2 linked regions of the Yarrowia lipolytica genome follow. The protein of the gene in region 1 interacts with the protein of each later gene in a biochemical or structural test. Links are inferred from orthologs where the notes say so. Each region holds a gene or a part of one and is shown in the gene's direction. Other genes may lie near its edges. The genes, in order: YALI1_F00229g and YALI1_B27015g.

Region 1 (10,650 bases):
GCCACAATTTCGTTCTTGACGTCCTCCGCGTTGATGTTCTGGGGAACGGCTTGAAGCAGAATGGAAGAGGTGGATCGACAGAGAGGCAGAGCCGAGGAGAAGATGATGACAGTGATAACGAGAGAGATGACGGGATCAGCGTAGTACTTCCATGAGTAGTCGGTCTTCCAGATGAAGAAGGCGGTGGCAATGACACCAATGTTTCCAAGAGCATCGCCCATAACGTGCAGGAAGACGCCCTGCATGTTGAGAGAGACCTTCTTCTTCTGCTCATTCTTCTTCTTGGCGTGGAAGTGTGTAGCATGTTCGGACGAGTCAATGTTGGAGATGGATCGTCGGTGGGAAGTGGGGTGCTGGAGCAGAGAGGTCTGCTCGGTGGGCGCGGTGAACTGAGAGGCAAGCACAGTGTCGACAGCCTCCTCCTCGTCGTGGGCGTGGTCGTGATCGTGATCGTGGTCATGTCCGTGGCTGTGTCCGGCGTGGCCGTGCTCGTGGAACAGCAGTAGTCCGACAATGTTGGAACACAGACCGGCGGTACCGACAACGGCGATGAGCTTGGGGTTGGTGATGATTTGGGGCTCGAAAAGACGTTGGATGGCCTCCAGCAGAATGGTCAGACACAGAGCCAGCAGGAAGACGGCGTTGGCCAGAGCTCCGAGAATCTCGGCTCGCTGCCAGCCGTAGGTGTACTTGGAGTCGGCTCCTCGAGACTTGGCTACTCGAACGGCCCAGAGGGCGATGATCAGCGAGAAGACGTCGTTAAGCATGTGGAACGAGTCGGCCACAAGGGCGAGTGAATGAACGGCATAACCTGTGTTAGAGCTGGGGATGGTAGATCTGGTTTTGTATCGTTTCGTCAGTACTCACCAACAATGGCTTCAAGCAGGAAGAAGCAAGTGTCGATAATCAGCAACGCAATCATGCGGATTTCCCGCGACGTGAGCGACATGTTGTTGAATAGTGTGTGATATGAGAACGGACTGGTCGGGGAGAAAATTCAGTTGGTCGAGGCCTTCTTATTATGAGTGTTTCTCTCTTTCTCTTTTTTTAATTTTTTTTTAGGTGTGTGCGTGTGTCCGTGTCCTGGGTGTTGACTGTATCAAAATAGCCAAAAGCATATAGCCGTACAATTAGCTCGGGGTCTTTGTATCAAGGTCGTGTCTGAAGCGCAAATTTATGCACATAAAAGTCTATGGAACTTGAGCGTTGGAGAATATTGACAGATGAAGGGAACCATCTCTGGGAGACCTCACGCACGTGTATACACATCACACAATAACTACAGACTGGCCCGGTAGCTCCAACTACATTCCGTGGACTACCCCGCTGACTTGGCAAGCCCACCTACACACAGAGTTCTGTGCTAGATCCCCGGAGGTGCGTCAGCATGAAAAGGCGGATAAGGGGAACCATGTTCGTTATTAAGGGGCGGCTCTTGTTAGGCTTGTTTCTGGACATGCGTGCGTTCATCGCAATGGTGTCGCAAGGGTGTCCAAAGGGTGTCGTAAGGGAGTCTCAGGTCTGGTGTTGAACCACGGAGTAAGGTGGTGTTGATGCTGAGTCATTTGACACCACACAACTATTTCACAATCGTCACAAGTCGCGGTGTCTGGGGTCAAGCTTTGGGCTCTTGCAAGGTCTGTCCTTTCTTTCTCGTACTGCGATCCACGCTGCAAGGTCGCATGGACATTTAGGTTGACAATGGGAGCTGGGGCTGCCAAAACCACGCTAAACGATCGGTTCTGGTAAACATGCTCTTTCGGGCTCGATAGCAGCGCTCTTCTGGGGTGCTATTGATACAGGTCACCGGTCCTGGCAGTCGCATATGGCCGCCCAATCAACACGGCGCTCACAAAAGTTTCGACTCTATTTCCTATGTGCGTCTCGGGAAAGCATAAAGGCAAGGCAAGAAATGTGTGTCACGTTTAGCTGGAGAACGGCGGCAGTGACGACAAGACACATCATTGGAGAGCAGTAGCTCCAGAGTGCATTGCGGCGAAGAAAGGAAGTAGAGAAATAAACTACAAACCAAAAGATAATCGCATCTGATAACTCCAATCTGGTGTGACGTGATGAGTTCTTTCTTGGCTTTGGAGCAACAAGTGGACATGGTCTTGTTGTCAAGTAGGGAACACATGCCGATAACTCTTGTTCAACAGACATTCTACTATAGACACAAGCTCGGGAAAAAGTCGGAACAAAGTCGGGACAAGCTCGAGTCAAATTTTAGCATCTGATAAATTAAACCGTGGACGATAATCAGTGAAAATCTTGCACTTGTGTGATCACACGAGCAGAACGACGAAGAAGCCAAGGTTAAACTGCTCCTAGCTGCACCTCTAGTCCTAATCAATTCGCTGGTCTTCGGAAGCCGTTGCTGGTCCATCCGCACGGCCTACTGTTGCTCCAAGCTTGTTGCTTTATCCGAATGGGGTGCCTTGTTCCTTTCAGTCATGCATCATCTGCTCCAGGAGATGGATGAAACTGTAATAAAGACGTCAACGGGAACCGTTTTGGATGATGGGGCCCATCAACGACAGCTACAGAGGACTTGTAGCAACTCCAACAGCCCTCAGTCATGTCCCGGTCACTCGAGAAAAAGAAAAGCCTCCTGAATGCCATAAGCTTAGCCTCGGACTAAAAAAACTAACCCGGAGTTAGTTTTAACATGTTTCTACAGCTCTTGGCGAGGCTCTAGAGAGGCAATTGTGGCCCTGACATGCCTCTGGCAAATTTCGGAGTCTGTCGGAGTCCGAATCCCGCATATCTCGCTCGGACGAATTAAATTTCTCGATAACACGCTAAGCGTCTGCATGTGGTTGAGCACCACAACCCGAACTCTAAATGCCCACCATCCATCCATCATTCATCACAGACACCGACGATCACGTGACACCCGGGGGATGACAAGTAAGCTTCGACAGTAGACGCACACCACACAAACGAAACAACCATGTCGTTGACGACCAGAGATGATGTACGAAATCGGCTGCGGCCTTTTGGAGTCATGTGAGTATGCAGAATGCAGCAGTCGTGTGATTGAAGAGGTCATGGGGTTCCCTCTTCACCATAACACCAGTGAGCCATTAACCAACCACAACACCACAGCCACACTAACACAGATTCGAATCAACATTAACTGATCTCATTAAGGGTATTCGAGCCGCCAAAGATCTGCCCGCCAAAGAGCGGTTCCTCAAACAGGCAGTGTCCGACTGCCACCAGGAGGCCCGAAACCAGGATCTGACCGTCAAGACACTCGCCATCCTCAAACTGGCATATCTGGAGATGCTGGGTTACGACATGTCGTGGGCCTCCTTCCACGTCCTGGAGGTCATGAGCTCGCCAAAGTTCCAACAAAAACGAGTGGGCTACCTCGCTGCCATCCAGTCCTACCGTGACGACGACGATGTGTTGATGCTTGCGACCAACCTCCTTAAACGTGATCTGACGTCAAGCTCGCCGGTCGAGGTGTCCGTGTCTCTATCCGCAATCGCCACCATTGTCACCCCTTCACTCGCTCAGGACGTGCACCCCGAAATTGTCAAAATGCTGTCCCATTCGAAACCCTACATCCGAAAGAAGGCAGTGCTGGCAATGTATAAGATCTTCCTCCAGTACCCAGAGGCACTGCGGACGTCGTTCTCTCGTCTCAGAGATCGACTCGATGATTCAGACCCCTCAGTTGTTTCTGCCACAGTCAACGTGATCTGTGAGCTCGCCAAGAAGCACTCAAAGAACTACGTGCCCCTGGCCCCACAACTCTACCAGCTGCTGACCACGTCCTCCAATAACTGGATGATGATTAAGATCCTCAAGCTGTTCTCGTCGTTGGCACCCATTGAGCCTCGGCTTAAACCTAAGCTGTTGCCTCAGATCATGACCCTGATCCAGTCCACCTCGGCACTCTCCCTCCAGTACGAGTGCATCAACTGCATTGTGAGCGGAGGCATGCTAGGAGAAGACGACCACGATGTGGCTGGTGTCTGTGTCGAGAAGCTGTCGTCTTTTGTGAACCAAGGCGACCAGAATCTCAAGTACGTGGGTCTTTTAGCGCTTGGGAAGATCGTCAAGGTCCATCCCATTCTTGTTGGAAAGCTGCAGGGTGTCATTCTGGAATGCCTCAAGGAAAACGCCGATTCCACGATCCGAGAACGAGCACTGGAGCTTGCCAACGATCTTGCATCGGAACACAATGTTGAAACCATTGTGAACCTGCTGCTTTCCCAGCAACTTACCCACGCGTCCATTTCATACATTCTGGACATGTGCTGCAGAGACACATACTCACTCATTTCCGACTTTGAGTGGTTCTTGAATGTGCTCAAGAAGCTCGCACTGGTCGATTTCCCTCTCGAAGACCCTGCTCGGATCGGAGAAACGCTCCGAGATCTGTGCATGCGAGTCCCCGATATGCGAGAGGAGATTACCGGAGTTTGCTACGAAATATTCACAGACGGAGGTGTGTATCTCCGGAACCCCGGCGTCCTGCCTCCCGTTCTCTTCTGTCTCAGCGAGTACCCCATGCATCGACAAAAGGACATTTTGGACTTTTGCCTCAACTCATACTCGCACGTCAGAGAGAACAGTGGCAGCAGCAACAATGCTGTCGATCTGGCCGTTTGTGTATGCATCGTGAAGGTGTTTGGCAAGTTCTGCGAGGGCATCATCTGGTCATCTCCCAACGAGCTTTATGTTAAAAAGACTGTGACCAATGTGATCAAGTTTTTGTCGTCATATCTTGCGTCGCCGGACTACGAGCTGCAGGACTTTGCCACCCAGTTTTCCGAGCTCTTCAAGGTCATTTCCGAGTCTCTGGAGGAGGAGGGTGTGCCTGTGCTTCTTACCGAGGTGCTGCCGTCTTTCTTTGCATATGAACTGAATCCTGTGGCACCAGACACTCAGAAGAGAATTCCATTCTTAGATCTGGAGCTCCCTCCCGAGCTTGAGCAGACCCTGGAAGTGGAATTCTCTGACATTGAGGACGAGGAGGTTTATGTTGAGGAGGAGTTTACCCCCCAATTTGCTTCTACGGTCAGTGGAGTGCAGAAGGAGAGTCTACTGGATGCTCGTAAGGAGCGACTAGAGAAGCAGAAGGATGATCCGTTCTACATTTCTCGAGACACTACGCCCAATCCTCTCAAGGACGAGCAGGTGGACGTCGATTCCATCCCCGTGGTGGACCTGCAGATCAACGAGACATCGATAAAGACTCCGCCCATTCAGACCAAGCCGAAGCGCAAGATTAAGATCATCAAGGACGAGCAGATTGATGGCGAGATTGTGCCCAAGTTGGAGGTGACCAAGAACGTCAAGAAGAACGTTTTGATTCGGCCCAACCAGCTCGACCAGTTTGAGCTGGAGGACGACAAGGACTCGCCCGAGGTTGCGCAGATGAAGCAGGAGCTCAAGGACAAGAAAGATAAGAAGGACAAGAAGGACAAGAGGGACAAAAAGGACAAGGAAAAGAAGCCCAAGAGCAAGGCCAAGAAGGAGGGGGCTGATGGCGAGGTCAAGGAGAAGAAGCGCAAGAAGCGGGTTGCCGTCATCGAGTAGATCATAGATGTATTGTAATTAACCATACACTTGTACTGTAGCTCAAGCATGGCGGTACAGTCTCGTATCGTATCGTAGCAAGCTGGTTGTGCTCGTTCTAAAACTCTAATGCATGTATCACGTGTACTAATTTAGATAGGGTTCCTATCAAGTTTTCTGTGGCGTTGAACAAGCATGCTGTCAGTAAGATTAGGACAATCAGTAAAGGGAAGGTGCAAGTGCGAGAACCTTGGGAGGAAGGAGAAGAGCACCGGCCCAAAATAATTGGGACGTAACGTAAACCAGCGGGGAAAAAAAAGAGAGACCCTGGTGTTTGGAGTGCGTGTTTGTGTCACTTGAGACGCTCGCGTGTAGCATTTTGCCGCGGCAGACCCGCGCATCTGACTGGTCATTTCCACTCAACAATGGGCAGCCCCACACATACGTTGCAGGTGATACTATAGCCTGTACTGTATCATCTGTCCCGTAACCACAGCAGCAGCGCTCAATACTCCGCACTCTATACATTTAAGCTTCTGGGGTTCCTGATAAAGCCTTCGCCACCTAGACTTCAGTGTGTCTTCTCTCTCACCTCTCAGACAACAACAAACACACACCACACCGACACCGACACGCTCTACATATTTTAAGTCTCCTTACAATGTCTCCCACCACGGGCGAAGCTGACAAGACCACACCTTCTACCGTTCCCGCCAGCTCTGCGATTTCGCAGACCAAGGGACGATGTTCCTTCACGCTCTTTTCCAGACGAAACGACTGGACTCGCAGCGGCGAAGTGGACTGTGTCTCTTTCGAGCCTGATTCTATGAAACCATTCGACGTGGAGCTCACCGACGCGCAGAAGCAGACCCTGGGGTCACCCAGAGGCCACAAAAAAAACATCCATGTCCCCAAGGCCTTCAACCTCGTGTCTCGCAACCACGCCAGCTTTGTAGCCACGGATAAACAGCTGTTTCTGTTTGAGAGCAAGGCAAAGTACGGCACCAAGCTGGACGGCCAGAAGTTGCAGCTCAACACCTTTTATCCCCTGAAGGAAGGCTCGCAAGTGACCCTGTCCCCTGACTGCAGGGCACACGGCACCGCCTTTGATTTTGAGGTTGAGAGCATCTCCTTTGGAAAAGCTCCTGCCACTCCTTCTGTGACCTTTTCTTCCTCGAGCATTGTTTACAAATACGACAGCGAGGTTTCCCAGGGCACCAGCATGGACTCTTCCCCCAACGATGCCATCGTTATTGACATTGATTCCGACGATGAAGATACTGGCGAACAATCCGACATTGAAGTCGTTGGTTGTGCCGTTTCGTCGGGTGACAACGGGGAAGGGCAAGTTGGAGATGCTCAGCGATGCCACTGGTCCGAAGAAGACGAAGAGGATCGCAACGAGGACGATGACGAAGAAGACGAAGAAGATGATGAAGACGAAGAAGACGAAGAAGACGAAGAAGACGATGAAGACGATGAAGAGGAAGAAGAGGACGAGGACGACTCTCAAAACAGAAACCAACGTTGGCTCGCGGCTTCTCATGATTCCGATGATGACAAGGATCATGATGTTGAGCCGGCCACTCTTGTTGAGCTTCTCAGATCGGCTCCCACTGCTCGTGCGCCTGATGAAAATCCCCATCAGATTTTTTTCAAACCTAGAAGAAGCAACCAGGACACCCTTTTTGGCTACGACACCTTGCCAGCTCACGAGCCAGGATCGTTCCAGACACCTGAGAATCAGTTCGATAACTCAGAGGAAGCCTTCCTATTTGAGGAGGATGAGAGAGCTGAATCTTTGCTAAAGGTACATGAAGCTCCTGCTGAAAGCTCCATTGTGAAACCTGCAGATACCTCCGAGGTCTCCGTTGGTCAGGAGTCAACCAAGATACCTGTTACAAAGTCCAACGAGGTTGCCATGGATATGGAGTCCACCAAGGTCTCTGTCAAGCCGGTATCTACCACCGTCTCAGTCGAGGCTACAACCCAAACTCCCCTTATCGAGAAGTCCTCCATCATCGATATGTCAACCGTCCAAGAGCCCGCCGAGAGCCCAGCCTTCCAGGACGCTTCTACCAACCTTCCCACCGCCAAGGAGACAATCATTCACGAGCCTGCTGCCACAGCCCCGGAGCCTCTTCCCACAGCGGCTTTCCAGGAGCTGGCATCCATTCCTCGAGTTCGTAAGCGAACCCGGGAGGAGATGGTGAAGGAAGAGGAGGATCTGGATGTACCTCTGCCTAAGAAGTCCACCGAAGGCCGACGAATTGGGCAGATCTTCACCGCCGTTGCAGCTGGTATGCTTGTGGGAAGTATCGGCACCGTGACTGCTCTGGCTAGCATGTCCACTTAGTGTCACCGTTTTATTTGCTAACTGAGTAATTACGCGTAAAGAATTATTTATATGTATGACGTATGCTATGTGTATCTATGTGTATGCTATAATATATGCTAATAGGTGGGTTATGAAAGACATTCTCTCTAATCCAGCAGTCCCTGCTCGTTGAGATGGTTAATGAATGCAAGTAGAGTTTCGTTCTCCTTCATAATGTCGGTCCGGAAGAGCTTCTTGTACAGCGGCATCTTTTTGGGTGGCTGGTACCGTCTGTAGACCTTTGAAGCGTGGTCTGCCGGAGGTGCAGGTGCTCCACCTGAGCTTGCAGAGCCCGTTGCAGTGGCCCCTGATTTGTCGTGTGAGAATCTGCACTTGTCTCCGAATCTGCATTTTCCTGTTTTCATGAAGAAAGAACATTTTTTGGGGCCAGATTCTTTGTTGCTGTTGTTTGCGGTTGGCAGTTTGTCCATATCGCCTGGGTTTGTCTTCTGTTTCTTAGTTTGTTGTTCCCGTTCCTTTTCCTGCTTCTCCTGCACCCGTTTGCGCGTGGGCCAGTTTTGGCGTCGTTCTGCTCTCCATTTCTCAATGTCCTCTGGTGTGATAAGCAGCACTGATGTTCCCTGGATAGGGACAGGGCCATTAGCCGCCAGCTTTTTAGCTAGCAGCGACTCCTCGTCTTCTTCGTCTTCCTCGCGGTGTTTAGACGTGAATGTGGGTGTGGGGGCTGTGCCGCTGTTGCTTGGTGGCGGAGGCGGAGGCGGTGCGTAGAAATAGGACATGACTCGATGTTGTGTGGTCTTGTTTTCCTATTGTCAAAATAAATTTTGAAAGTCGATGTGGATTATTTGAGGGTGCATGTGAGCTGCAACATTTCTGAACTATGCTCTGACTCAGCGTTTTTCCACTCTAGGTTTTGGCGACCCCCAACCGCTAGCCCCTCACACTAATTATTGACTCTTAGGTTTCCGCGCGAATACTTCCCTCTCCTCAACACCAAAAACAGACACAGACACACAATCATACACAGCCATGTCCAACGGTAGCATCATCAGCAGAACGACCAACTACATCTTCTCCAAGGACTTTGTGAAATGTGAGTATTCCGGTAGCATTGTGTTGATTGGCGGAGCGGTGGACATTTTTCGGACACACACAGACAGGAGTGAACTGTTGAGCCATGTTGGTCTAACGATCGATTCGTTGCAGATTGTCTGTTGCGACAATAAGATGCCAGGTGTCGGTATTGCTCCACAAACACGAAAGACCAACAATACACAAGCGACAAGAAACCAATGTACCCCATGTTGTCAATCTTGTCAATCACCCCGGACGTTGATTTGTTCACATCAAGGACTTACAACGGAGATAGCGTATCTATTTGCTCCAAGTCGATCTCTTTTTGTTCAACACTAACACAGACATTTGCTCCACCCACTTTTGGGGACCCGTTTCCAACTTTGGAATCCCCGTGGCTGCGGTGATGGATCTTAAGAAGGACCCCACCAAAATCTCCGGCCCCATGACCGGCTCTCTGATTGTCTACTCTCTGGTTTTCATGAAGTACGCCACCGCCGTGACCCCCTGGAACCCTCTGCTGTTCGGCTGCCACTTTGTCAATGAGTGTGCTCAGCTCGGCCAGGGCGCTCGATACGTCAACTACTGGTACTTGGGCGGACGAGATAAGGCTCTCAAGGACGGAACCGCTGCTCCTCTCCCCGAGAAACAGTAGATAGATACACGTACGTAGAAGGAAGATTAAAAGTGATTGATTGATTGATAAGTCTGTTTGGCCATTGGCGAGAAGCGTAGTCGTGTTTAGGACAGAGACAACGGTTAGAGTGAGACATATTGAGCTTAGCGTATTTTGAATGTTCCATACAAGAATGGCCCAGATATCGTATCGGCGTTAAAGATAAATCAGACTGGCGGAGTTCAGTATGGAAAGCGATTGAAGAGAGGGGGCGCGGCGGGTTCTATGTACTCGTATTCTACTGGAAATGCTTGTCCAATGCTATGGGGCGCATATTTCATTGAGGCACTTCCCAATAGCCGAGATAGGTGTGGGGGTCAGGTACGCACGCGGGCGGAGTTGATGGGGTTGTTTAGGGCTTCATGAATGTGAGAGCAGTGACGTAATGGACGTTGAATTCCCCATTGCCGTATTTGCATGATTGAAGAACCTCTGAGCTACTGCCTTTTTTTTTTTTTTTTACTCTCTGGTCGGCAACTGTTAACTAAAGTCGGTCAAAACTGACAGTACTAGTGGAGCCTATAGTTGAGTAAACGAACACAGAATTGACAACGACATAACTAGCCTGTTTGAAGATTGGTTTCTATTAAAAGTATTTGGGACACATAATCGCAACGTTAGAAGCACCGCTTGTCTATGTATTACCCACAAGAGCCATTAGAAACCTCTCTCAAGTGGGTCTCCTTTTGCTTACATAACAAGCCGATAGCTTCCTCTCCGCTTGATGCGCCTACAAGTACAGTACTAGTATGACGGTACATACTGTTCCAATCTGAGCCATATATCAGACAAACTGGTCTATTCTACATCAGGCCGTCCACAGATCAAGTGGTTAACCAGATGTGGTCATCATTTCAGGTCTCCTCCCCTACTCCACTGTGCCGTTATCAGTACGCTGAATTATTAATGGCCTGCGCAGAGAATGTTACACACACTACTCGACCAGACACGAGTAAAGAAAAGTGATCTGGACCACATATATTTCATTTCATCAATCAGCGACTCTCCTGTGTGAGCTGCTACTTGT
Region 2 (16,738 bases), on another chromosome or scaffold:
GACCGGGGCAACTGGGAAGTTGACCACGACACTGAGGAGCTGTGGTTCAAGACCGACCGAGGCACATTTGTTAGCTACTTCACTGTACTCAAGACCCGAGTGGAGCGACAGTTCCGACACCAGATGCAGCGACGGGAACATGAGCGACGACAGGCCGCTGCCGCCGCTCAGCAGCAGCAGCAGCAGCAGCAACATCACGCACAGGGAGGCCTCCACTCTCCCTCACCACAGCATACACAGAGCATGCCAGCCCCTGGCCTGGGCAAGCCCCTGACCTCTAAGCCGGCCCAGGATTTGGACATCGTCGACCTCAACGAGGACACTGCCACCATTAAGGACAAGGGCAAGGCTACTATGGGCTCTGCTCTCCGAAAGACTATTGTTGACGAGAGCAAGACTGCTCACACAATTGTGGAGCCTCTTGAGGAGTCTGAGGAGATCAAGGGCAAGGGCAAGGGCAAGGAGGAGGATGTCAACGAAGCCGCCGAAAAGGCCAAGGTGGAGGCCACCGAGAAGACCAAGAAGGCTGCCAAGGAAGCTGCTGATAAGGAAGCAGAGCTCAAGAAGGCCGCCGAGAAGGCCGCTGAGGAGAAGGCCAAGGCTGAGAAGAAGGCTGCTGAGGCTCGAGAGAAGGAGGAGAAGGAGGCCAAGGCTGCCGCCAAAGCCAAGGAGGAGGAGCTCAAGAAAGAGGAGGTAGCTAAGGCTGCCGCCAAGGCTGAAGAGGAGCAGAAGGCCACCGCTGCCGCTGAGGCTGCCAAGGCTGAGGCTAAGCGAGCTGCTGAGGCCGACGCTTCCAAGAAGGTAGAGGCCGAGAAGGCTGCCGCTGAGGAGTCTAAGGAGTCTAAGGCTGAGTCTGAGGAGAGCAAGGTCGAGAGGGATCTCGAGGAGCTCAAGATTGACGAGGAAAACGGTAATGCCGAGGAGGCCGATGAGGAGGCCGATGACGATGATGAAGATGACGAGGAGGAGGGTGACAGCAAGGAGGGTGAGGAGACCAAGAGCACAACCGCCTCAAAGTCCAAGTCCAAGAAGAAGAATAAGAAGAAGGGCAAGAAATAATGTATGTATGCATAACTTTTTGATGATGCTGTAAGATATTCAGAAAATATAAAAAAAGTGTTTGTTACAGAAAGACTGGGTGTGTTTCGTGTTGAATTACCTGTGAGAACAATAAGGTGGCTCGGCCCACTGTAATGTACATACTGTTACTATAGCTACTTGTAGCAATGGTATCAGAGAAGCTAGTTTTGGAGAACATTCTGTTGACCAAAGACGAGTCGTTTCGGTTCATCTTCTTTCCTCCCTCCCCAAGTGTATCTTGCTTTATCCCAGAGGCCATTCTGTTTCTCCACTTCTCCATTATAGTATGCTTTTGCTCTGAAGAAGCCAAATGCAAAATTGGACACAAACATGGACCCCAGGAAAAGCAGTGAAATGAGCCCCAAGGCCTTGTATGAGAATCTGTCAATGAACCCCGTGATGATTTCGGCCAGTGTTTCGGCTCCGAGACGGGCTCGGTTAACGGCATGTTCGTCTCTGTTCATGCACAGTTCCCATTGGTCACAGAGAGTCTCCAGAGCTGGACGGCGGGAGTTGGCTGCACATTCGTTAAGCAGGTACAGCTTTGCACACTTGCTTTTTGCCATAAGGATCTCGCCCGAATGAGCTGAGAACTTGAAACCAACGTCCTGTCGGACCGAGGAAATAAATAAGTAGACCACGTAGGCCATGACGGCCAGCATGATGCCGTTGAACGCGAGCTGTAGATACGAGGTAATGATGTACGGCAGGTTGGGGTTTTGAATCATCCATCCAAGGGTTGGGTTGGGCAGATGAAGGTGGTATTCTGCAGACTGATCCTGCCCCGGGCTTTGAGCCTCGGAAGTGTGAAGAGTTGGTGCTGGAGTGTGTACTGCTGCCTGGGCAGATTGAGGAGAGAAGTCGCCGTGTTTAGCGTCTGGTCGAAGATCGGGATCGATATCGTCTGCCTGATCAAGGGGTTTACCTTCATTGACAGGGGAGTAGAGGACCATGCTCATATCCACGTCTTCATTCTTCTCAATCTCCTTGACAGCAAACTGGGCACCGAGTTCAGTGGGATTGAACACAGATGAGATCTTCCATGGCGAGTTGGGTGCCGCAGCAGCAACTGACACCGAGGAAGTTCTTCTCTTACCTGCCTTGATGGGTGTAGACACAGGCGGAAGGAACTCGGGGTTCATGCGCGATAGGTTGACAGATTGAAGGTCAAGAAGATCCGTGGGGTCGTCAATGTCCATTTCGTCGGGGTCTTGGGTCTCGCTAGTTCGCAGATTGGAGAACTCCGAGGTCAGATCGTCAAACGGTTGTTGTTGCTGCAAGGGTCGGTGGTATTGTAACTGACGGTTCCGGACATCCTGGTCAGATAACGTGAAGCCACTGAATCCGGTCACCAGAGGCTCGTCGTCGGGCGCTTCGTCGATACTCATTTCTGCAAATGACATGGTTGTAGTTATGTCATACAGTGTATGCCACTTGAAACTTGATGCCAGCCGTATGCAGCCCGAGATGCATGAAAACAGATATTATTTTTGTTTAGCTGTATTAAGGTTACTTGGTACACTACAAGTAGTTTAGTCCCAACACAAGCAACGTGCGTACACTTGTGTGCCCATGCTCCACGCCACACAGAACAGCTCAGATTGCCTCTTCTCCGAGCTCGACAGTGATACCGACACAGACAAACCACTGCTTCACGATACCTCACACACCGTTCGTTTCTGCGAACCCCAGACCAAGCGGCGCATGGGCTTCCGCAAGTGGTTTTCTAGGACCAGCAATGAGAAGAGGCCTCTCATAGACCGCATCACCACACCCATGGACGAGATTTTGACCGACGAACCGCCCACGACTACAGACGCTTTGACTTCTCCTCCACGTGGCAGAAAATACAGAGACCATCAGAGAGAAGAGTATGAACGAAGACAGCATTATGAGAGGACGCGAGAACGGGACAGAGACAGGGACAGAGAGGGAGATAAGTACAGTGTTCCCCGGAGACAGCTTCAGGACTCTGCTCGTTGGCATGAACATGTCAGACAACAGCAACCTCACATACATCAAGCACACCAGATACCATACCAGATACCATACCAGATGCCACCAGGGCTGAGGCAACATATGCATCCTGCGTATCTTCAGCCACGACAGATCAGCCAGACGCCAGACGCCATATCGGGATACCCCAACCAGTCGTTACTGCGACCAATGTCTCAGGTGATTGAACCGCGATACATACGGACAGAGGGATTCCCTGTACCACCAGTGAAGTACGCACAGGTCCCCCAGGGAATGAAAGCGGAGATAATGGAGCTGAAGGACGATGCTGGAAATGATAAGAATGAGGAAAAGAAGTATGCCAAGGATAAGAAGGACGACAAGAAGAAGGAAAGCGAAAGTCCGCAAATGCAGTCAAATATTGAGAAGATGGTCAAGAACGCGTTACAGAACCATCGCCCGGCAGTCTACGAGACTCTTGTTCGGATGAACTCGTTTGTCCTTTCGCTTAAGTTAGCCCTCTGTATAGCCTGTGTGGCTTTTTATCCACTGGTAGGTATTCTTCTCATTGTGGTTCTTTTTGGGTCTGAGATCTTGCTTGAACTAGCTATAAAGTGTGGTCCTGACAGGAGTTAGCTAAAAGACAGTACATACTCGTACCTGTATGTAGCTATGTAAGAGGATATATAGTGTACCATGAAATATACAGTAGCCATTTTGGAGACTATTGTCTCTGGCCTTTAATCTGTGTGTGCCTAATTCGTTTCTGCTATTTATGTTTCCATCTCATCAATTGTAAATCCTATCAGGAAGAGTTTCCATCATATTAGTCCAGGTTCGCTCATCTACCCAGGATCTGAGATTTTGCAGAATGGCATGATTATCAATAACTCTGAAAGGCTCCACATCTCCAGGATTGAGCAGCAGTCTCTGTTTTCCTCCGCCAGTGTGGGGCCAATCAGAAGCCCAAATTAGCTTGTTGGGGCTCTCCGAGGCGAAGAACTGAACCACTTCTTCTAAGTCGCTGTATCCAGGCCCCTGTTCAGACAATCTGTAGAATCCAGAGACTCGAATGAGCACATTTTTAGCAGTCAGCTTGATGAGGGACTCGAATCCAGTGTCTCCGGGGCTCTTCATCCCACCCAAATGGTCTGCAATTACCGTTACTGGTAGGTTCCCAATGACATCAAACAGACTGTCCCAGTAGTTTGGTGGAATATAGGCCTGGATGAAGTAGCCGAGAGGGCCGACAAGAGCGGCTGTCTTGACTAGGGTCTTAGAGACATATTCAACGTCCAATTGACCGGTAGACACGACATTGACTCTGACACCTCTGATACCCAGTTCCCACCACTCTTGCAGCAGCTCCACGGGTGTGTTATCAGGATCAATTACCACCACTCCTCTCAATTTGTATCCGTTTTGCCGATCGGAGTGACCTCTGAGCGTGTCAATAATAAGCGAATTGTCTGTTCCATAAGGCGAGGGCTGGACCAGTACATTGTTACCAATCATGCCTCCACACAGATATCTGGAATGGGCCTCCAGACCAGGTAGAAGTGCCTGGTCGGTAGTGTATGTTCGTCTTCCGGCAAACGGATAATTAATTGGGTCAAATAGATGAACGTGTGTATCCCACGAGTTTGGCGAAAGCATTTTGTGTACTGTTGGTATTGCTGGGTGCACGTCTGAGGAAGGTCGCCTGGCTTATATGCACCCCACACTCGTCTAGGTTCAAAGTTGATCCGGAGCTTTTAGGTCGGATCCGAGTCGGTCTATTTGTAGTGGAACAAATGCGGATGCAAACCGATTAATGGAGATCTATCCACATGCCATCAGTCGTGCGACATTCTAAATCAAGCTGCTCATCTGTTTTTGTGTGGTTACTGAGGGCATCTCGTTGATCCTTTTATTAACACAGCCTTGCCGTCGAAATCATAAATGTGGGGCATGAAGGTGTAATCTCAACACCACGAAACACCTCAACGGAGAGGAAGGTGGAGCTCAAACGCTCAAATATGCTCAAAAGAGGCGGTGGGGGAATTTGAATCAGAAATGAGACAAGTGCACTTCAGTGCTGCTCCCCAAAGCTGCAATATGAAGCTTGAGGGTACAACGCAGACAACGATATATCCACAGGCTACTGCTAAAAGCTGGCGCGTGGATATAAGAAAACTGTCAGCTGTCAAATTCATCAGAATGGATCTAGAGTAGTGAAATTGAGGCCCAACAATTTACCGACCGTGGAATAAAAAAAAAACCAATTTCAACACCCCTCGTGGACTAAATACAGCAATTTGATGTCGCTCTATACGGCACTCACCAGTGGTTACTGCCAATTAGGTTTGCGCTCGCTAAGCGGAAAAATGAACCTTGCTAGCGGAACATATTTTAACGTGATACAAGAATACAGGGGATGTAAGATGAGGTGAGACGAGGATGGTTTAGCTGAATTGTGTCTCTACTCGGTGTCAGATACACTTTCTTGCAAGTGTCTGTTTACGTAGCTTGGTCCTGATGGCCACCTTGATCATCGTGACATCTGTCTACTTGTAGTTCCACACTATCCCCACCAAGGCAACCTAGCTCTGATTAGCTACATGCATCGTTATGGCGTCATTGGGTCATGAAACAGTAATCTTGTAACGTACAGTAATACAACATCGATGGTTAAAGGTGAGATAATTGGTGAGATAAAAGGATCTCCATTTCCTGTCGTACGACTACTGTAGCCTATACACGGTTGTTGTTTTTTTCAGATCTAATCACGTTGGGCACAAAATAGAAAAGATACTTGAACAAAAGCACAGGTTGCACTGATCCCACTATTAGTTGTCATTTTACTTCAGAATAAAAGTAGCTTGGAGCTCATTAATGTTTTATTCAATTCATTCTCGAACGTCATGGCATCCATCTCCCATGCATCTATCTCCCAATACTATATACATGTCTATCACTCGTCGTCAGAATAGTCACTGAGCTCGGCGTCCTCCAGCTCAACAGCATCGTCGTTAAGAGGAAACCGCAGAATAGCAGCAATACCTCCCAGGGCGTCAATTTGACGCCCCGAGTCCTGCAGATGCGAATACATAAAGACCTTGCCTCCGTTCTGCTGCACAGCCTGAGTGGCCTCAGCGTATCTGGATCTCTTAGCGTGATCGAATCCACGCACAAAGTTGGACGACAGGAACAACACAGAAACAGCGCTCATTTCGAGAGCGTAATCCACGTGCTTTTCTCCGTACCACACTCGATCTGGGTCTGTATGGAACATGCGTTGGAACTGGTCCATTTCGTTTCCGTCAGCAGCAATGGCCAGTTTGTTGAGTGCGGATTTGTAGGAGATTGACTTGAGAGCCTCTCGAATAGCAGTCTTGCCTTCGGACGAAGTTTCCAGTGTGATAAAGCCCTGTTGCAGCTGGATGGCTGTTTTCACCTTATTATCCACAGCCCATGCCTTGAAATACTCCGAGAAGAGCTTGTTCATGTAAGGCATGGAGATGAGCAGCACGGGAATAGTCCAGTCGGCTTTGCATCTGTTTTCAATGGTTCGCAGCAGCGTTTCCTTGGCCACGTTAAAGAAGTCGTTGTATTGCTTACCTCGAGTCTTTCCGACCGAGCCCTGTCCGTCGTATTTTCGAGGAATGGCCTTGTATCCCTGAACCAGCACTCGAGTGACACTATGACGCAGCTCGTAAATGGTGAACTTGCCAGTGGAGTTGAACACCATAGCAAGAGCGCTCATTGTGTCTGCTCCCACGTACTGGTCGAGCGTCTGGAGCGCAAAGAAATCCCAGAACTCCTTAATCACGGTCACCTCATCGCCTGGTGTAAGAGCCAACGTGTGATATTTCGTTTTGAGAGACTCGTGGTGGCCAGCATCGGTAATGACGCCTGTGATTCGGATTTCCTCGCCGTCGAAAACAATCTTCTGGGCACGAACAGTGATGTAAATGAGCTTTCGAAGCACCTTCTTCTTGCCTGCATTGCCCTGGATCTGCTCGTCATCAAAGGCGCCTGTGGTTTGTGGAACTGCTCGCAGTGTCTTGGCCTCGACCAAATCGCCTCTTTGGATCACGTTGGTCAGCGCATACAGGTCGTCAGTGGAATCCAGAGCGAGCTTTTTGTACTCCAGCTTGTTTTTCAGTCCCTTGGAGATGAGACGCATGTTGGATCAGATGTAGTAATAATGTCAGTAGAGAGCAGTTGTTGAGGTAAAAATGTCCTGTCGTGTATGTCAAGTCGGTTGATATCTATTGGTAAACGTGTCGGTTTCTGCTGAGCTTTGTCGGGGTGTTTGTGGAGGCTCAGGCACTGCTTTTATAAACTTGCTGATATATGGAAAAGGCTTGATTGGGACTGTGAGAACCTAAAGTTCATGTGGGATGTCATATAGACACCGGGTGATATGAGCACCCATACACATCCTTCCACACACATACCCTCACACATTCATTTCACCTATCATCTGTTATCATATTAATATGAGTTCATTTCGCGTTCAATATGTCGATATTTCTCCCAAAATTCATTATGTACTCCGCCCATACTAATATCCCTCCTAGCGATAGCTAAGGCCTATGCTATTTTGTAAGACAGGCAAATAACCTCAAGACGTACCGTACAGCATCCACCGTTGCATCATCACAGTAATATCGACATCACACCCAGGCGACAAGAGCGACACCTAGGCTTTGGGTTTCTCAATTCTCCACGACAACAAAACTGCGACGACACAACGACCTACATAACCGCCTCGTCAACATGTCCGATCCGTTTGCGAAAATCGGAGCGGTGTTGGAGTCAGCCAAAGAGCTGACTCTTGAAGCTGCAGTATCAGCATCATCACGACTTCTGGTAGACGACGCTCCCCTGTCAGCGGAGGAAATCAAAAAGCTTCTTAATGCGCGCAGCGACCGTGACAGATTGGCGGGTATGCGCCAGGTCATTGGTTTCATGTCCAAGGGCAGAGGAGAGGAAGCTCAGCAGTTCTTTCCGGACGTGATGCGAAACACGGCGTCCCAGTCTCTTGACATGCGCAAGCTCGTGTTTGTGTATCTGATCCGTTACGCTCCCATGGAGCACGATCTGGCTCTTATGAGCGTCAACACCATTCAAAAGTCGCTCTCTGATTCGTCTCCCACTGTCAGATCTCTCGGAGTCCGAGTTCTTAGCTCCCTGAGGGTCCCGGCCATCTCAGGAATTGTTCTCTTTGCTATCAAGAAGGGTGTGACCGATGTTTCGCCATTAGTCCGAAGAGCTGTCGCAGGAGCTATCGCCAAGTGCTACGACGTGGATCCTTCCACATTCCCACAGTTGGTCGAGTTCTTGCAGCAGCTGCTGGCCGACAAGAACGTTCATGTTGTCGGGTCGGCTATCATGTCCATGCTTCTCATCTGCCCCGACCGCCTCGACCTCATCCATCCCATCTACAGGCGTCTCTGCAGAATCATCCCCCAGCTCGACACGTTCGCAGCAGCTTCCGTCATTGATCTGCTAGTAAGATACAACCGTACCAATATTGCGCCACCAAAGGGCAACAATTCTGTCGACGCGGACACAGCTCTGCTTTTGTCGGCTCTTTATCCGGCCATTGAGAACTCATTGTCGCCTGTCTTCATCATGAGTGCAGTCAGTGCAGTCTACGCTCTATGCCCTGGACAAGTCCAGCCGGTTTACCAGGAGACCATCGAGGTGGGACTCGTGAGATTGCTCAAGAATGAGACCTTGGAAGTCGCTCTGACCATGATCAAGCAAATTATTCTTCAGAGAGACCAACCCAACGCATTTTCCACCCATGTTCATCGGTTTGTGGTCTTTCCCGACGACACCGCGTCCGTGGCTCTGCTAAAAATTGCCATCATGGCTTCAATCAAGGGCCCACGACAGTTTGTGTTGTCGGAACTCAAGCATTATGCTACCTCCACCTCTTACGAGCGCGAGGTTCAAGCAGCCGCTGTCTCGGCCATTGGATCCTGCGCCTCTGGGGGAACTAACAAGGAGTCCGACTCTCTGGTCACGTGGTTGCTTCGTCAGATTCGATCTGAAGCACCCACTTTGTCCGAGTGTCTTACCTGTGTGCGTTTGTTGATTCAACAGCAGCCTCAGAAGCACGTCGCCACGGTGACTAAGCTGGCCAGAATTTATACTACGCTTGACACATCGGCTGAGACATCTCCTGCTAAGGCTTCTGTGGTTTGGCTTGTCTCCGAGTTCGTGTCTGTCGCCCCCGAAGTTGGAGAGGCTCTTCTTTACTCGGCATTAAAAAACGTTGCATATGAGGACACACCTGTTCGAGCCCAGATTATGGATCTGGCTTCCAAGGTGTACCTGTTCCGAATCAATGAGGTTGGCAAGGCAGCTGAAGGAGAACTCACTGAAGAAAAACAGATTGAGTTTTCCAGGTCGTTTGTTGGACAGTTGTATTCGCACGCTCTCTACTGTGGTCGATTTGATCCTTCATATGAGATCCGAGATAAGGTGCGACGTCTAGGAGCGTTACTCAGCAATCCTGCATCTACTGAACTGGCTACCCTAATGCTCCAGGCTCCCAAGCAGGCTCCCAAGGTGGACAGCACAAACACCGAGGGCGGTTTGGAGCTTAACACTGCTTCTGCGGTACTTGGAACACCTCTTAGTGGGTATGTTTCCCTGCCTCCTTGGGAAAAGGATCTCTCTGTTCTTCCTGATGCTCGTCTACGAGATGAACCTGAGGAGGTGGTTCACATGGACACCGAGAAGGTAGTTACAGGTATCAGTCACAAGGAACTGCCGTCAATGTCTTCCAATGGTACTAATGGTATGACTGCCACCAAGCCCAAGCTGCAGAAGCAGACACTTGATGAGTTCTTCGCTGATACTGTTGGGAGCGAAGACAGTAGCGAGGAGGAGGAATGCGACAGTGATGACGATGATGGTGAGGAGGAAGACGAGGAGGAGAAAGACGAGGAGGAAGAAGACGAGGAGGAAGAAGACGAGGGGGAAGAAGACGAAGAGGAGGAGGAAGACGAGAGCTCGGAAGAAGATTCATCTGACGACGATCAGCCTGCTTCCCAATCTCCAGTCCCCGCTTCTCAGTCCCTTCTTCATGAAGAAAACCCGTTCGCCAACAGCTAGTCTAGTTGGCAACAAAAAATATAGCATTTGTCTATAATGAATCATGATGTTTAAATACACACGCAATACACCGTATCTGCTCCACAGCTACAAGTAGTGATCTCAGACGCTACTGTAGCATTTTTATAGATAACCGGTTCCGGATGTACTGAAATTTAGTCGGTTAGGAAAGAAGTATATTCTGTCAGCGACACTTGTTTCTGTCAAAGTTGAGGGAGGGATACTGTAGACTATTAGGAACAAAGACGCGCCAAGTCTGAGGGGCTTTCACATGGCACGTAACATTAATAATCAAGTAATCAGACATACGATTTATTCACGGTAAGTTATTTGTGCTCATTTTAACGTGGACTCCGGTCAGATGGCACATGGTTAGAGCATGTAGTTTCATGGGGGGTTCTGGACTGGCGTCTGCGTTCTCCAGAGTGCCGAACAGCTGCACGATTCGAGTCAGTACATAGCTGGTCTCTGTCAATGCGTATTGTTGGCCCAGACAGATTCTGGGCCCTCCGTTGAACGGCAAGTACTCCCATCCTCGTGATATGCCCTCTCCCCATCGTTCAGGTCGGAACTCGTCTGCATCTTCGCCCCAGAACTTTTTCAGACGATGGGTCGCGAACACACTGTAGACGAGTACAGAGTTCTTTCTGATGAGAATTGGTTGGCTCTCGTCCGGTCCCCCTCCTCTAGGTAGTGTTGTGTCACGTGTTGCGTAGCGAACATTGACGGGGACTGAAGGATACAATCTGAGTGTTTCATTGATGACGAATCGTAGGTACTCGCATCTCTTTAGAGACTCAAAAGTGATGAGAGACAGGTCCGAGCCAGAACCAAAAGTGCTCAGAATTTCGTCTCTCAGCTTGTTCCAAGTTTCAGGGTGTCTGGCTAACAAGTAGATGCACCAAGACAATAGAGAAGCCGTGGTGTCTCTTCCTGCCAGAAGAATGTTTAGGGCCTGGTCACTCAGAACCTGTGGAGATTTGACCTCACGAGCCAGCTCTGTGAGAAATACATACTTGTCATCAGCCTGCTTTTCCTTCTCGCTTTCAACAAGAGCCTTCTTGACGTAATGGTCCACGAACTTGCGGACACTTTTGCTGGCCGTAAACAGCTCCTGTGGTCTCCAGAGCCAGTAAAACATTTGAAGACGCACTCTGTAACCCCCATGGTGTTGAGCGAGATTGAAATCTGATTGGAATGATTTTCGCATAGGAATGGGCATGTCAGTCACAGTAGAGTCATCTTCAGCTGGATTGTCCACCGTCTGGCAGCTCACAGACTGACCAAAGAGAAACTCTGTGGCTGTATCGAGCGTCAAGTTAAAGAAAAGCCCTTGGATGTCAAATGAATCACCCTGTGGAATTTTGCGAACCAGGTTCTGGACATGTCGTTCGATCATATCAACGTCCGAAACTTGATCCCGGGCAAACTGTGGCCGTAGCATGGCTCGGGAGTGTTGCCAACCCTGTCCATCAAGAGTGAATATGCCGTCACCCAATATGGGGGCCAATTGGTTGTGTCTGACTCCTAAACAAAAGTCTTTGAACTGTGTAGCCAGCAAGGCTTTGAGGTTCTCAGGCTCTAGTGTAACAGTCACATCATTGCCTGCCAGCACCAGACCCACGGTCAGGTTTGGTTGTCGTTTGGTGAAGAAGTTGACAAACTCGTCTAACAAGACATTGTTCTTGCCCGACTTGAAGAAGAACAAGAACTCAGGAAAAGCCATAGGAAACGATGAGACGTCTCTCACCGGTGAACATTTCCACTTTTGGGCCAGCTTATAGCTCTGGTAGCGATATCGAAGACGGGTGAAAATCAGGTAAGACACCAGAAAGGCCAGGACGTAGAGTAGAATCATTTTATTGGACCAATTACAACCCAGCTGACATCTACGACTTTTTATATACCTTCCACTACAAGTAGCCCTTTAGTGTCCCTCCACCTTTTGACACTTAAAACAGAGTTGTCCTTACTTGGATGATGGATCAATTTTAGTGTGGGGCACGTTTGTGGGGTGCATAATCGTCAAAAAAGTAAGAGGTACTTGTAGTAGAAAGACATTTGAAGGAATATTCACATGTGTTTGAGTTCCAATGAAGTTATAAAAAAAGGCGTCGTGGCATGGTGTCATACTCGTCCAATTCCAATCGCCACTATAGTGCCTCTTCGTAACGGTCGCTTGTACGTCTAGCAGACCCTAGGCTCAACCAAAGGCTACTTCGTATGTACTGCAGCTACAGTATTGTAATGTCACATCAAAGGAAAGAGGCAGCAGGAACAACGGGTTACATATCCCACGTATAGTACGATACTGTACAGTAGTAGCCCCTGTTTCGGACAGTGACACCAACGCGGTGTACAATACCGTCTTTGAATTGTGGGGTACCTCTGACTAGGCCGCATATTTGACACCTCTCAACAATGCTGTCATTTGGTGCAAATACTGATTAGTATTAATGATTACACAGGTAGCTAGCTATATTATTACTTGATTAGCCAACTACTATAGTTTGTTGCCTCCTTGTCAGGAGAAGCAGCATGAACCCACGGAACTCTGTATTCGCAAGGACAACGCGGTCAGATGACCCGATCATGGCAACAGTATATTTTCTCCCATCACTTTTGCTCCTACAAAAGAAACACAGCATCGATCTACTGTATCTGTTCCTGAGTCACTGTGATTGCATCCATGGCAGTCTCCACTGTAGCTGCCACTGATAATTACAGTAGCTAGCTATCGTACTTACGAGTACAGTATGTACATACTGTACTTGTATATGGTCAATTAAGTGATGGGGGCAACCCCTTTCTGTAATATACATTATGCTAAATGTGAACTAACAATTCACTTGTAGTCTCTTAAACCCACAAATCCAACTCGTGTCGGTAAAATTCATCATCCTCTGGCATGTCGGGGTAGTAAGGAGTCATGGCATCGACATTATCGATGTACGCAGAGTTGTATGCCTTCCAGAACGGATCCCTGACCTTCCGGGCAGCATGGAACAGACCGGCCCAAATGTAATTAAGCACCAGGCCGGGTCCCAGGCAAAGACGAATGCCCTCAATGGCGTCCAAAATACGCACGATCACGTGAGGAGACGTCTCATAGATGTTGGGAATCAGCAGATTGAGAAAATGCACCATGGCATCCTCGGCTCCGAGACCCACGCAGTTGATGGCCAGATGGCGCACAACAGTGGCTGCCGTCTGTCGATGTACGTGGTCTCTGTCTGTAAGAGCATCTTCCAGCAGGGGAGCCACAGCGTAAATGTAGTCTTTGGCCATATCTCCAATGTACTCAAACATGAAGGTCATGGCTTTAAGAACACCGTTCTGGACGTTGATCTCAGGAACACGGTACTCGTTCATCAGAGCAGGAAGCACGGTGAACGGAGAACAAGTCTCGGCCACAATACCAATCGCCACAGCTGTACAGACACGAGACTGACGTTCCTGGACTCGCAGGTTAGATAGCAGCGTGGCCAATACATCTTGGGGGCCAATCGCCTTGGCGATATATCCAAATGTGTTATTTGCTGCCTTTTGAATGGTCTTCTTGTGTGCCTTAAGGAGATCAATGAGCTCGAAACAGATTCGCATCCATTCTCGAGCGGACACATACTCGGGACCTCGGTCGGCAATTCGACCAACCAGATCGATGGTGTTCTCCTGTACCTTTTCGTGTCGGTTACGCAGAATAGGCGTCAGACGAGGCAGAAGATCTCGAATGGGGGGAGTCATTGAAGCCAGACCAACAACAGCGACAATGGCCTTGAGGGCTCCAAGCAGAGAACCCAGAGCCTCAGGATACTCTTCTCCAAGCTGCTCGTACAGGATTTGTCCCAGCTTGTTGAGGGCCTCATCTTCTCCACAGTTCTTCATAACTCCAGCAATCTGGCCAATCAAGTCGGCAGCCTGACTTCGAACAATAGGGGACTTGTTGGAGAGTCTGAACAGCACGGAAGACGTGATCTGAGAAAAGTAGGGTGCGGCTCGTGTATCAAGAGCTTGGATAACTGTTCCGAAGCCTCGTAGCATGACAATCGAGTCGGCTCGGTTGGCATTGGCAGCTGGTGATTGCAGCTGGAACGCCGTCAGAATACCGTCAACCAGACGGGTTTCCAGTTTCGAGCCGGCCTCGATATCAGCAATTCCGAGATTGGCCACAACCTTGTCAATAGTCTCCATTGTAAGTCGTCTAAAGTGGTCAGACTCGTCCTTGAGATGGTTAGCAACTCGGTCCACGATTTCAGCAGTACCGACCTTATTAGCCAGTTCCACAGTTGTAGAGAGAATAAGCTTGTAGCACACTCGATCAGAAGCCATTCGACGGGTCCAGAAGCACTTAAAGTACGTGGGAAGAACCTCGACACGAATGTATCGAGCGGTTACACCCTCAGAGCGGGCACATTGCGTGACCACTTCCAGAACCACTCGCTTCATTTCCTCGTCAGGGGAATAGAACTCTCGAAGAACGACAGCCATAACTTCCTTGGTATAATAATCGGCATAGTCGGGATTCATCAGAGGAATAATGTATCCAATCGCTTTCAGAAACGCCACAAGATGTTTACCTCGCTGCTCTCGCACCCCAAGCCAGAGAGGTTCCAATACGTTCTCAAACGACTCAATACCGTAAGGGGCGGCAGCTTCGGCAAGAGCAGCAAGAGCCTGCGCGGTCATCTGACGGACCTTAGGGTTGTCGTCAGTCAATCCGTCTCCAATACAATCCACGAGAGAGCCGAGATATGGCAGCACTGTGCATCCGATGAGAATAGCAATCTGCTGGACAATCTTTGCTCCTGTGTGACGAGCTTCCCATGACTTTTTTGACTTGCAGACGGCTTTAATGAAAGGAACTAATGCAGGAACTCCCAGAGCACTAGCAACAATGGCAAACGATCGAGCAGTGGTGTTTCGGACAAACTCGTCTGCGTGTCCGACGTTAGGTCGGAGTGTTGATATCATATGTGGGAGTCCAGCGGCCTTGGAGATGTTGGCAACCAGCTCCCGTCCCTCGACTCGTGTGAAATAGTCCTCATCGATCAGTAATGGCTCAATGACAGACAATAGTCGGGGTGTGTATGGTCTTACCAGATCACCCAGCTTGAACAGGACTCGATCAACCACCTTGACAAGCCAGTGTCGTTCTGTATCCTCCAAGGACCTTTCTCTGAAAAGGGGGATGATTTGCGAAAAAAGGGCCTCGGGACCCAGAGATCGAGCAGAATCAGTCAACTGTCTCATGGCCTGCTTTCGCATCTGAGGAGATCCGTTCTTGATTTTTAGAATCAGACGCATCACCTGGCGCTCCTTCATTTCACGAGCACTCAATAGACCCTGTTCTTCTGCATCCTGCTGTTTGATCAGCGCTCCAAAGTACTTCATATCACTTTCCTTAAAGTACGCCAAATCTCCCACTCCAGGAATAGCGTCAGCCGAAGGAACGGCTGCCTGGATCGCCAATGCTCTATCGACCGCAGTTTCTGTGCTGCCTCCTGGAATGCTGTATCCCTCAATCTTGACTGTCACCTTGCTCTTGATTAATGGCTTGTATGAAGCAGGGGGAGTAAGTACAATGTATCCTTCCGAAGGAAGCACCGAAGCAAGAAACTCGTCTGTTATTTTGCTGGTTGTAGACGTCTCGGCTTCCTTTTCGTCGGGAACGTCCCATCTCGACTTCCGCTTTCGTCCTCTCTCACCACTGTCTTCAGTGACAGGTTTATCTGATCGGCCCTTTCTGACACGAGGACCCACTCTGGGAGGAGTTTGAGCCCGTTCGAACTTCCGAAGTTCATCCTGTTCCTTCTGGGATGTTCCATTTGCCTCCTCCTTCTTTCTGATTGCCTCCTGTACTCGCTTCTCGTCTCGTTCCAGGTCTCTTAAAGCCAGTCGCTCCTTGTAGCTTAGATCCTTCTCATCGTCATCAGCCTCCTGGCGATCCAGACGTTTGCGCTTGTAATCGTTTGCACGGTTGTAAATGCTCTTGTTGGACTCGTTAGCTTGCAGCTCATCGACAGCCTGCAAAGATACAGTCTCGTTGAGGAACTCTTGTGGAGCAGTATACGAGTCCTGAGGCAGGTTTTGACGCTCATCATCGTTAAGAGCCTGCATTTCCGATACGTCTGCCATCACTGCGTCGTCATCCTCGAAGAACGGCTTTTGCCTGTCTTCTCGCAGCCGCTTAATTTCGTCCATGCTGTTGTGTGTGGGTGTGTTAGTAGTGAGAAAACGCAATGCATAAAAATACAAATCAAGCTCTGATCTGAGATAATGTGGGAGTGCGACAAGATGCATCTTGTGGAGAATTGAGAAGATACTACAAGTAGACATAAGGAGGGGCAAAACGGGATTTTGGTGTGCACGTTCTTTATTCAATCAAGAAATACGCGTAGATGTGGTAGGGTGATGTACCAAGTGAGGTGTGTATGTCTCTATTTTTAGTTGAAAACATGATAACATTACTTTCCCTCAGTTGGGACATTTGTTGGAGTAAGATAAACAGCCCTTTCACAGACGAAGTTATAATTAAATGAATGTACAGTATATGCAGAAAGAAAAGAAAAAACAGACAGTATGCATT

What was found.
Region 2: the proteins of YALI1_F00229g (region 1) and YALI1_B27015g form a complex in vitro, tested with the Saccharomyces cerevisiae proteins (2 studies listed by BioGRID). The link is inferred for Yarrowia lipolytica from reciprocal best matches to the Saccharomyces cerevisiae genes APL5 and APL6.

Annotation. Positions count from the first base shown.
Region 1 is NC_090775.1:19,956-30,605, forward strand, and holds YALI1_F00229g (uncharacterized protein), read left to right. Parts: upstream 1-2,953; coding exon 2,954-3,009; intron 3,010-3,122; coding exon 3,123-5,556; downstream 5,557-10,650. Other genes in the region: YALI1_F00207g (uncharacterized protein), read right to left, coding at 1-811, 868-949; YALI1_F00261g (uncharacterized protein), read left to right, coding at 6,197-7,891; YALI1_F00286g (uncharacterized protein), read right to left, coding at 8,020-8,652; YALI1_F00288g (uncharacterized protein), read left to right, coding at 8,903-8,966, 9,292-9,602. UniProt on the Saccharomyces cerevisiae protein: Part of the AP-3 complex, an adaptor-related complex which is not clathrin-associated. The complex is associated with the Golgi region as well as more peripheral structures.
Region 2 is NC_090771.1:2,693,712-2,710,449, forward strand, and holds YALI1_B27015g (uncharacterized protein), read left to right. Parts: upstream 1-7,800; coding exon 7,801-10,152; downstream 10,153-16,738. Other genes in the region: YALI1_B26926g (uncharacterized protein), read left to right, coding at 1-1,059; YALI1_B26962g (uncharacterized protein), read right to left, coding at 1,242-2,483; YALI1_B26963g (uncharacterized protein), read left to right, coding at 2,653-3,672; YALI1_B26984g (uncharacterized protein), read right to left, coding at 3,826-4,692; YALI1_B27009g (uncharacterized protein), read right to left, coding at 5,990-7,204; YALI1_B27057g (uncharacterized protein), read right to left, coding at 10,469-12,010; YALI1_B27102g (uncharacterized protein), read right to left, coding at 13,012-16,488. UniProt on the Saccharomyces cerevisiae protein: Part of the AP-3 complex, an adaptor-related complex which is not clathrin-associated. The complex is associated with the Golgi region as well as more peripheral structures.